Schizosaccharomyces pombe: one gene and its partner. Changing the gene in region 1 together with any one later gene gives a genetic interaction. Each region holds a gene or a part of one and is shown in the gene's direction. Other genes may lie near its edges. The genes, in order: thi1 and thi5.

Evidence for each region.
Region 2: of thi1 (region 1) and thi5, extra expression of one rescues a mutant of the other (dosage rescue), as found in Schizosaccharomyces pombe (one study listed by BioGRID).

The regions. Positions count from the first base shown.
Region 1 is NC_003424.3:3,210,092-3,215,174, forward strand, and holds thi1 (DNA-binding transcription factor Thi1), read left to right. Parts: upstream 1-1,781; 5' UTR 1,782-1,887; coding exon 1,888-4,215; 3' UTR 4,216-4,418; downstream 4,419-5,083. Other genes in the region: ribosome biogenesis protein Nob1, read left to right, coding at 1-11, 227-1,191; cell end marker Tea3, read right to left, coding at 4,599-5,083. UniProt on the Schizosaccharomyces pombe protein: Transcription factor that activates the nmt1 promoter. Regulation of thiamine repressible genes. Positively regulates conjugation during meiosis.
Region 2 is NC_003423.3:3,694,245-3,699,450, reverse strand, and holds thi5 (DNA-binding transcription factor Thi5), read left to right. Parts: upstream 1-1,745; 5' UTR 1,746-1,756; coding exon 1,757-4,330; 3' UTR 4,331-4,487; downstream 4,488-5,206. Other genes in the region: SPOM_SPBP8B7.31 (acid phosphatase), read right to left, coding at 414-478, 532-651, 727-978, 1,037-1,118; abz1 (para-aminobenzoate synthase), read right to left, coding at 4,732-5,206. UniProt on the Schizosaccharomyces pombe protein: Transcription factor that activates the nmt1 promoter. Regulation of thiamine repressible genes. Negatively regulates conjugation during meiosis, by inducing negative regulators which delay conjugation. Involved in thi1 regulation.

The DNA.
Region 1 (5,083 bases):
TATAAAAAAAGGTATGTTTTATTAAAAAGAAAGTTGTATAGTGGTTGAAGAAAGCAACCAGCTAGATTTTATTCTGTGCACAGTCATCTCTGAGAAGTGAAAGCAAGGTGGGTGAAAAAGCTTAATCATATTGGAATTTGATCGCTTTCTTACACCTGCTATTCTTTTCAACTACTTCCATCATAAATACTTTGATTCTTGGTAGCAGCTTTCTAACAAACTATAGTTTCCGAATTTGCAAAGCAAACCGGTGATTACTCCTCACTCTCTGTAACCGATATTCAAATTTTGGCTTTGACTTATGAGTTAGAAGTCGAGTTTAATGGTGGTGACTGGAGACTTCGCAAGTATCCTGGTCAAAAGCATATCAATGGAAAACCCCCTAGTAATTCAAATTCTACTGAAGATGCATCTAAACCCACATCAAGCGATACAGCTTCTGTAAAAGAAACTGAGAACAGTGATCCTAAATCCGCAGAGAACGAAGTCTTGGAAGGTGAAACGACACAACATTCCAATAATAAAGAAGCACATCCGAATACTGAAGAAAATAAAGAGCAAGAAGACAATGAGGAAGATGATGAAGATGATGGATGGATTACTCCTTCAAATATTCGCAAAAAGAAAGCTGAGGATGGCGTCGGTGAAAGCCTTGTTCAACCCAAACATCTCAAAGTCGCCTGCGCTACTACTGATTTTTCGATGCAAAATGTCTTATTGCAAATTGGGCTAAATCTAGTTTCTTCAGATGGTTTCAAAATTCAAAATGTTAAGAGATTCGTTCTCCGTTGCCACGGATGCTATACAGTAGTGAAAGACATGGAGAAAAAATTCTGTCCTTCCTGCGGTGGTAACACGTTAATTAAAACCACGTGCAGTATCAACTCTAAAGGTGAATTTCAAGTGCACTTGAAGAAGAATTTCGAGTGGAAAACCCGAGGCACAAAATATTCCCTTCCTAAGCCAGTTCATGGTACTTCAAATGGTAAAGGAAAGAAAAATCCTGTTTTACGTGAAGATCAGCCTGAATATCAACGTGCTGTACGCCGCATGCAGCGAAAGAAGGAAATCGATCTTATGGATGAGGATTATCTTCCCTCTCTGCTTACCGGTGTTACCAAAGATCGAATGTACGTTCAGATAGGAGCTGGAAGGAAAAATCCTAACGAGGTCAGAAGAAAAAAAAGGTAGAGATTGGATTGGTTTTAATTTACTTATGTCGCTTTCTAGTTGACATGCTTACATATGGTGTTTAAGCAAACTTGCAAGCATTTTTAAGAACGTACAAGGTCTTTTATTCAAACATGCAATTTGCAAATGGTTTTTAGGTCTAATTTTTTGGTGTTTTTTTCTAAATAATAAAATCGTTTATTATGTTTCAATGATTAAAAAAACTGCAATTATGATAGTGTTTGAACTGAATTTATTTTTCCTGAAGAAATTTTTAACGTAGAAAGCTTGTTGCTGTTCAGTTGTATATCTTGTACATTGAGTGATGGGTAAACGTAGATTTTATCATCCTACAATTTAAGACGATTAAAAGCTACAATTTAGTTTAGATTGGTTTCTTTTTTGGATACTGGAGAATACCATCAAAAATGTTTTAGGAAAGCGATTAAACCGCGTTAACACAGATTACTGCATTATTCTTAATGGTACATTATTTTGACGATTTCATTTGCACTAAACCACTTTAATCTAAAGCGCGTTAGGATTAACAGTGAAGCTTAACAAAATTTTATTTTCCAAGCAAAGTCGCATATTCTCTTCCACTACAATTTGACGATTTCTTGGTCCTAAAGCAACGATAATTTACTAAATTTTGGGATTTCTTTAGGATTGAATTGTATTAGGGATTTACTGAAATGTGGTTGGTATTCTAGAGAGATGAATGAAGAAATAGGATTTTTAAAAAATCAACTTTTTGCCGATGTTAAAGATTTGGAGCGAAAAAAGAAAAGGCGGGTACCTCCAGAGCAGCGACGACGTGTGTTTCGAGCATGTAAGCATTGCCGCCAGAAAAAGATTAAATGTAATGGTGGTCAGCCATGCATAAGTTGCAAAACGTTAAATATCGAGTGTGTTTATGCACAAAAATCACAGAATAAAACATTGTCGCGTGAATACCTAGAAGAGTTATCAGAAAGACAACTATGTTTGGAATACATTTTCTCTCGAATGTGCCCAAATTTCAACCTCGAAACCAAAAATTTAATTTCGATATCCAAAAAGTTATCTGAAAACGAAAACTTGCCTGTGTCAAAAATAGCTGAAGTTACAAATGAGCTAGACACATTAGTACGAATTAATGATCAGCTAAGCAGAAATCATATAAGTGGAACTACGGAAGAAATGCAATCATCATCTTCCTTAATTGCAGGTGAGGTACAGCCAGGCATTTCGTTCAGAGATCAACTCAAAGTAGGGAAACTTGAAGATACGCTTTATCTTGGACCAACAACCTCTGAGGCGTTTATTGAACGTTTGCAAAACGAATTGGAGCTTGAATCAATTTCTGAAGACGATTTGTATTCCAAGCGTTTATCACCTTCCGTCTCATATTCCGAATTTGATGAACAATTACTTTTACATGCAAGAAGCTTGATCCCTTCCAAAGCTGTGGTTGAATTTTTAATCAATTCTTTTTTTATCAACGTCCAAACCAATTTGTTTGTTTATCATCCCCATTTTTTCAAATGTAGATTAGAGATTTTTTTAGCGATGGAAAACCAAATTGATGCTGGATTTTTGTGCATTCTACTTATGGTTCTTGCTTTTGGCAATCAGTATACGGCAGAACAACAGGAAGATGTCAGCAAGTCGAATTTTCATGCCTCCAACATTGGTAACAGATTATTTTCAGCTGCGCTGAGCATTTTTCCACTCGTCCTTTTACAATCAGACGTTAGTGCAGTTCAATCTTCCCTACTTATTGGTCTGTATCTTCAATCTACCATTTATGAAAAATCTAGTTTTGCATATTTTGGTTTGGCGATCAAATTTGCGGTTGCCCTAGGACTTCACAAAAACTCTGATGATCCTTCTCTTACCCAAAATTCCAAGGAATTGAGAAACCGATTGTTGTGGTCAGTTTTCTGTATTGACCGTTTTGTAAGCATGACTACTGGAAGACGCCCTAGCATACCTTTGGAATGCATTTCTATACCTTACCCTGTTATATTGCCCGATTTAGAAATACCGGGTTCTCAGTCTATCGTCGAAAACATGCGTGCCGTTATTAACTTGGCTAAGTTAACAAATGAGATTTGCGATTCGCTGTACTGGAACCCTTCTCCAAGCTTTGAATCGCAAGTTAATTCTGTCCGTAGGATTTATGCTCGTCTAGAGCTTTGGAAAAGTGATTTACATTCTTCTGTGGTTTTTGATGAATCGGCTGTTCAGCATCCACTCTTCCGGTCAAATGCACATGTTCAAATGATATATGATAATGCGATTATGCTTACTACGAGAGTTATTATGGTAAAGAAATTAAAAGATAAAGATTTAACTGCTGAAAATCGTCGCTACATCCAGCTATGTGTTGAAAGCGCAACAAGGGTCATAAACATAGCACATCTTTTATTAACACATAAGTGTTTGTCCAGCTTATCGTTTTTCGGGCTGCATGTTCCATTTGCAAGCGCACCTATTTTACTCTTGTCTCTTCATTACGAAAACTCTCAGGATATTCAAGCTGTAGTCACAAAATTATGGCAGGTATTGGAATTTCTGAGTTCAAGGTGTGAATTTGCTAGAGAAAGTCTAAACTACCTTAAGTCATTTAACAAACAGTTATCTAGGCGCAATGCCCCAGACATTAATAATCCGATTGCAGATTTCCAAAATAGTTTTCAAAATTGGCAATCCTGGGTGGGAGATATGTCACATGGAGACATGCTTTCTACCTTTAAGCTTACAGGAGAAAGCTCAAATGGTAGTAATAGTACTCCAAACGAAGCATTCCAACCTTTTGACCAAACATCATCTCTCTATAATGTTCCGGGTCTAAACAAAAGTTATGTTAGTAACCAACCCAGTTTGCTCACACCTGAAACTTTTCTACCGGATCCAGTTCTCAATTTGGAAGTTGATAAACAATGGACGGCTCCTACGTTTTTGAGTTGGACGGAACTGCTAGGCCCTACTAATGTCTCTGAGCAGTCTTCGCATACTGCAGAGCAAACTTCAAATTTGACCCTTGAAAAAAATGGATGAATCTTTAATGGTTTTTTGCAGGTCTTTGTTTGTTTTAATTATTTCTACGTAATTCATCATATGCTTTGTTCGCGTGGTTAAGGAATTAGCATTTAATACCAGTTTAGTAATTTGCACTTGAGAGTATCCTCATCAATCTAATACTTTAAATTTTCTCTTACTTTTTAAAAGTTAATTAAATTTCATTACTTTTTAAAATATAAATGAGTCAATGTAAATGCAGTAGAAATAATTGCGTATTTTATTGTTAAATATAGTGGTAATTTACATACGTAGTCAAACGACTTGAGATTAAGTAGAAAAAATCAAACCACTTCAAAAAATTATTAAGAAAATTGTACAAACCAAAAAAGAGATAAAAAATCCTTAGTTGATGAATAGAGTTACATAAATGAATGACTAAGCTGCTGAAATGACTCATCTGAGCAATTGGCATATGTTATGGCTTTTTGATAATCATCCTCCAGTTGCTTAATACGACTGGCATAGTAATTATCATCAATTGCACGCATTTCTTCACCTGAAAATGAGCCCGCGGTATCATTTAGTTTTGAGCGAACATCATAATAATCTTTAGATACCTGAGGGGACAAAGACAAAAATTTTTGCTGACTGTTGATAACATCAGAAAGTCTTTTATGTAAATCATTGTTATCCGGGGCTTTTGTTTCTTCAGATGTCATCAAATTACCAAAATGATTACGATATTTTGTAAACACACCACCAGAAGGTATGTCAGATTCTTTTGAACTATGTGCAGCACTAGCATTATTGAATGAATCCTCTTCGTTAAAGTATGATCTTAAGGGAGAGGAGGAAGCTGAAAAGTCCGTAGGAAGATGAACGTCAGTAGAGTCCTTTCCTGATA
Region 2 (5,206 bases), on another chromosome or scaffold:
TTTTTTAAGAATTTTTATAAAATTCATTATATTAATCAATTAAACTACTCTGTTATGTTCTTTGTTTTCCTAAACCGGTTTGCAACTATGCTCATATGACATTATACCGTTTGTATATATTTTTGTTATTTATTTATATGATACTTACTTAGTTTGCAAAAAGAAAAGAGAAAGTTCATAAGAAACCCCATATTACAGATTGAAGCAATTTAGGTCTTTAATAGATTTAATTTCTAAATTTGATTCTTCACCCATTAAAAGTAGTATCAGTGTTTCCCAATTTTAACAATGATACTGTGATTAAACAAAATACATCTCAATTCGAATAGAGACTTCTAAATATAAGTTAAAGCACGATAGTTGTTTTCTTAAGATGCAAGCAAAATTGATTAACTTTTCTTTCAAAAGAAAAATTAACCATGCATATGATTTTTTAGAAATGAAAGAATATTTAGTGAGTTTTTTTTAATTTTCTCCACTTGTTTATACCTTGCTCAAAGGACGCACGATTAAGGCCATCAGGAACTAAACAGAATGTAACACCAAGTCTTTCAACCTCTCTGTTCCTAGACTCATCATCAAAAAACACCATTTCTCGATAGTCAATTCCAGATTCGTTGTGGATCTCTTTGAAGTGATCCATTTTACTACCTATTTCACAATAACTAGTTAGCAATATGATTATTGATATTTTCTGTATTGACAAAAATGTATTAAAAGACATACCTGGCCAAGCTTTTACATAAGTGAAAAATTCGATAGCCGGCTTAAGACTTCCATCTATTGGTACCTTCATCAAATTCAATGCTTGTTTCGCATACTTGGGAGCACAAGTACGGCTAGCAACGCACAAAGTAACTTTTTGGTTCCTTAGCTCTTGTAAAATTCCAGTTATATCTGAGTAAAAACAAATCTCTGTGCCATATTTGTCAATCAAAACGCCTGGGTCATTTTTGGAAGGCTTAAATGGTGCAGTGACTGTGAAACTTTGTTAGAAAATAAAACATAAAGTAGATCAAAGTAAAAGATTTAATACCATGGGTATCTATCCAAAGAGGCCACAGAGTGTAGTCTAAGTCAAAAACAACGCATTTTGGGAATTCGATATTTTTTACCATATTTGCTTGATATTTTATGGTATTGGTTATTAGGTTCGTAAACAACAAGAATGAAAGTCTTTTTAAGAGTGATTTCAAGTTCAAAAGATTGACCGTAACGCTTTCAAGAAGTTTACTGCCAGTTTGCTAGTTCGATAAGATTGACACAATTTTAGTTGGTACGTTGATGTAATCCAATTTTTTTTAAAGAAAAATATATATATTCAACTTTTTTTGCATTAGTAATGAAAAAAACTTAGGAAACAAATGTTTGAATTTCATTAACTTTTATGAATTATTATTATTTAATTTAACTGTCTTTGATATTCTCAATAAACAAATAAACTGATACCAAAAAACACTGTGTAAATACCATGTTTTATAAAATTGATCAAAACTGTATACTACCAAATTACAGTCAATTAATCGTTGTCATTAACATATTCATTTAAACAATAAATTTTTTTACTGCATTTAATACATTTATATTAACCTGGGGACTTGACAGAGCTTACTAGCAAATTTAATTTTGCTGATGCATACTATTTAAAATTGAAGTAGCATTGCTACTTACCACCTTCGGGTACCTGTGACCGACAGCGAAATTGATTTACCTATATGAAAATCTTAAATGTAGCAATTGTTATTATGCGAAGTTTATGTGTCCCTCTGACTTTTCTAGTCGTTCTTTGTTTTTAGAAGCCAAAGAGGAAGAGTATAAACAAAGAAGGCGTGTTCCTTTGGACAGTAGAAGAAGAGTAAGGCGGGCATGTCTGTCTTGTCGGGCCAAGAAAATTCGATGCAGTGGTTCTGAACCATGTCAGGCTTGCATTGCTACGCCTTCGCAATGTAAGTATGCTGATTCTTTAAAAGAGCGTACTCCCTCAAAACAATTTATTGCGGAACTGAGTCAAAGGCAGAAATGCTTCGAATATCTGATGGAATTGCTGTGTCCTTCTCTTCCTCATGACACACGTAGTTTAGTCAAACTATGCAAACATGTCGAATCTTCATTAGCTTCTGGAAGCGACGTTCGTTCTTTGCTAATACCCGGGTCAATTGATCAATCTGTTTTAAAGGTTGCTGCTACAAACAATAAAGACGATTCGTCTGCTGTCAAGTCAGCAAACGTTTCTTTTCCTTCTTCATCTACTCCCCCCTCTTCGGATTCAAATTTCTCATCTATTCAAAACACTGATCTTAATACTTCCATCAAGTTTACTGAAAATATATCTGCTAATGCAATTCATGTGAACCAAGATAAGGTTATTAGAAGTGCCAATAATTTAATAATCAATTCCCAACCCATACTTCCTGTACGTTCATTCTTAGATGCTCTAGGAGAACCCATATATTTAAGTCCGACGTCAAGCACTTATTTTTTAAATTCTGTTTTAGCATCCTTACAGTTAAATTCAAGCAATACCCCAGAATCACTGCTCATTGACTATCAAAGTAAAATTCCGGAGGATCTCTCTTCCTCTTTATTGCCTTTAGAACTAAACACACTTCAATCGACCCCTACTTCAGTATCTGTAGGTTCAGCTTCTTCACAAGGAACTCATGAATATTCAATTATAAATTTGACCTCCAATCACTCATCTTTTTCATTAAAAGCTCTAAAGAAAATAGCACATAATTTGTTACCACCGGTTTCTGTCGCAGAACGTTATGCAAATGAGTTTTTCCTCCGGTATCAAAGTTTTTTTTACTTTTATCCTCCATCTGTTTTTTCTAACCGTTACCAAATCCTTGCAGATGGTTTAGTTAACTCAGATACGTTGGATACAGGATTTCTTGCTGTTGCTCTTTTAATTGTTGTGCTTGGTCACTTCTCAAATAACAACATTAATGTATTGCCCAAGGAAGTTCAGCTTAGTCATATTGATTCAATGATACAGATTTCAGAGCAATTAATTAGCTCTTTATTAAATCGCTGTACCCTTTCTTCTATTCAAGCTGTCTTTTTACTTTCACTATATCATTTTTTAACTGGAAATTTTAAATGTGCATATTCTTATTTAGGTTTTGCAATACATTCCGCGCATACCCTTGGTTTGGAGCATGGTTCAACTGATAACAGCACATTAAATGAAGTTTCAACTGAGGAGACTAGTATTCGCATATGCTGGTCCTTACGTGTTTTAGCCAGTTTTTTGTACATACAGTCTGGAATTACTCCTATCATAAATTTATTTCCAAATGGTCTGAATTCTTTAAAACTTCCTACCGTTGTCCCGGAGCTGGAGGCTCGACATTTACCTTCATCCGTTTTTCATTTTGTCGCTATAATAAAATACGCTGAGATCTCCGTACGGTCTCTAAATTCACTGTATGAATCAAGTTCTGATTATTTGATGGATGTCTCAAATTTTCCTAAATTACTATTAAAAGTTGAAAGAATCTACTCCCAAGCTCGTAATTGGAAGTTAAACTTAACCCATCAACAGCTTAATGGAACGAATGACACTTCAGATCTCCTTTTTCATTCCAACGTTAGCTTACATTTATTTTATCACTACCTAATTGTCAAGGTAAGTTGTCCCATTATGTTTTTCTATTTAAATAATTGGTATTCTGTTAAACCTTCTTCATTTACGAAAGGCCTTAACAATAAACCAAGCTTGGAAGATGTGTTTTCCAATTTGGAAACCTGCTATGAGTCTGCAAAGGCAATTGTTCAGTTATCATCGAAATTGTTATCTGCTGGTCAGATGGACAAGTGTTTTTATTTGGAGTTTGAAATTTTATACTGTTCGGCAATTGTGTTATTTTTATTCTCAGTTATGCACCTTGGTGCAGAAAACCCATTACTTGAAAGTATTTATTTACTGGAAGATATGGGATCACGTACTATCGATTCAAAGGTTCGACTTGAAAAGCTTAAGAGTGCAATCGAAATATTTGATATAAACTCAGCTACTGAAATGCCTATAAACGAGCCATTATCCGCTTCTTTTGAATCAGTCAACAAAGAAAACAGCCAGAGTGGATATATGGCTTGGCAAAATTGGGTTACAGAATTAAGCTCGTCTAACATTCCTTTAGGTCATGCTTTGGGTAATCCTGAGTCGAACAATTCATCTAACTCGTTCAAACCTTCTCATCCATCTCAAAGTTTTTTGGTCAATGAATCACTCGATTTTTCTTCGAATCCTAAGGAGCCTCCATTCCTTCCGTGGTCCGAAGCATTGCTAAATATGGATATGCAATTGAATCGTTTAGGACCATAATGATCTTATTGTTTAAACATAAGTTTTATTTTGAACGTTTTCGTTTTGTTACATATTGTTATACTTATACTTCATTATCATTAATAATGCTAACTCTAAATAAAAACTTTTTAGTCTATAATAATATTTGGACCGCTAGCTATATTGACTGTTCCGTATTTCTTTAACATAGTCTTGAAGTAGCAATACTGCTGATTTTGTAATTTTATAATGTTTTTAAAAAAAATGAATAAACTGTCATTAAAACGCTTCATGAAACTATCAGTAACATCAATTTTGCCGTAATAAAAGTTTTGTTATAACCGATATCTATACGATTCTTGAAGGAAGTGTCAATTTTTTTTTTATATTAGTATTAACGATTGAAAATGAACAAAATAAACAACAGCATCCAACAATAATCATTTACATGATCTTTTTTTATTTTTAAGATTCACAAAAGCTGGTAAGATACTGTTAGCTTTTAAAACCATTTCCTCATATTCCCCTTCAGGCGAACTAAGAATAGTAACAGCACCTCCAGCACCTATTCTCCAATAATCATCAGCTTTGTACTTAAATGCTGATCGGATAATAACGTTGAACTCAGCAGAACCTGTTACATCCCAATAACCAAGCGTGCCAGAATAAATTCCTCGACCATGTTGCTCCAAAGGTTCAAGCATCCTCACGCTTCTTAACTTAGGAGCCCCAGTCATTGAACCGGGAGGAAAACTTTTTGACAAAACATCCCATGCAGTTATTGGGGACTCAATTCTTCCATATATATTTGATAAAAGTGAGTATACATTTGAGTGTTCTTCAACAGAGTATAGTTCAGGTACATGAACACTATTTTTTTTTGCCAACTGATGCAAGTCATTACGAATGAGATCT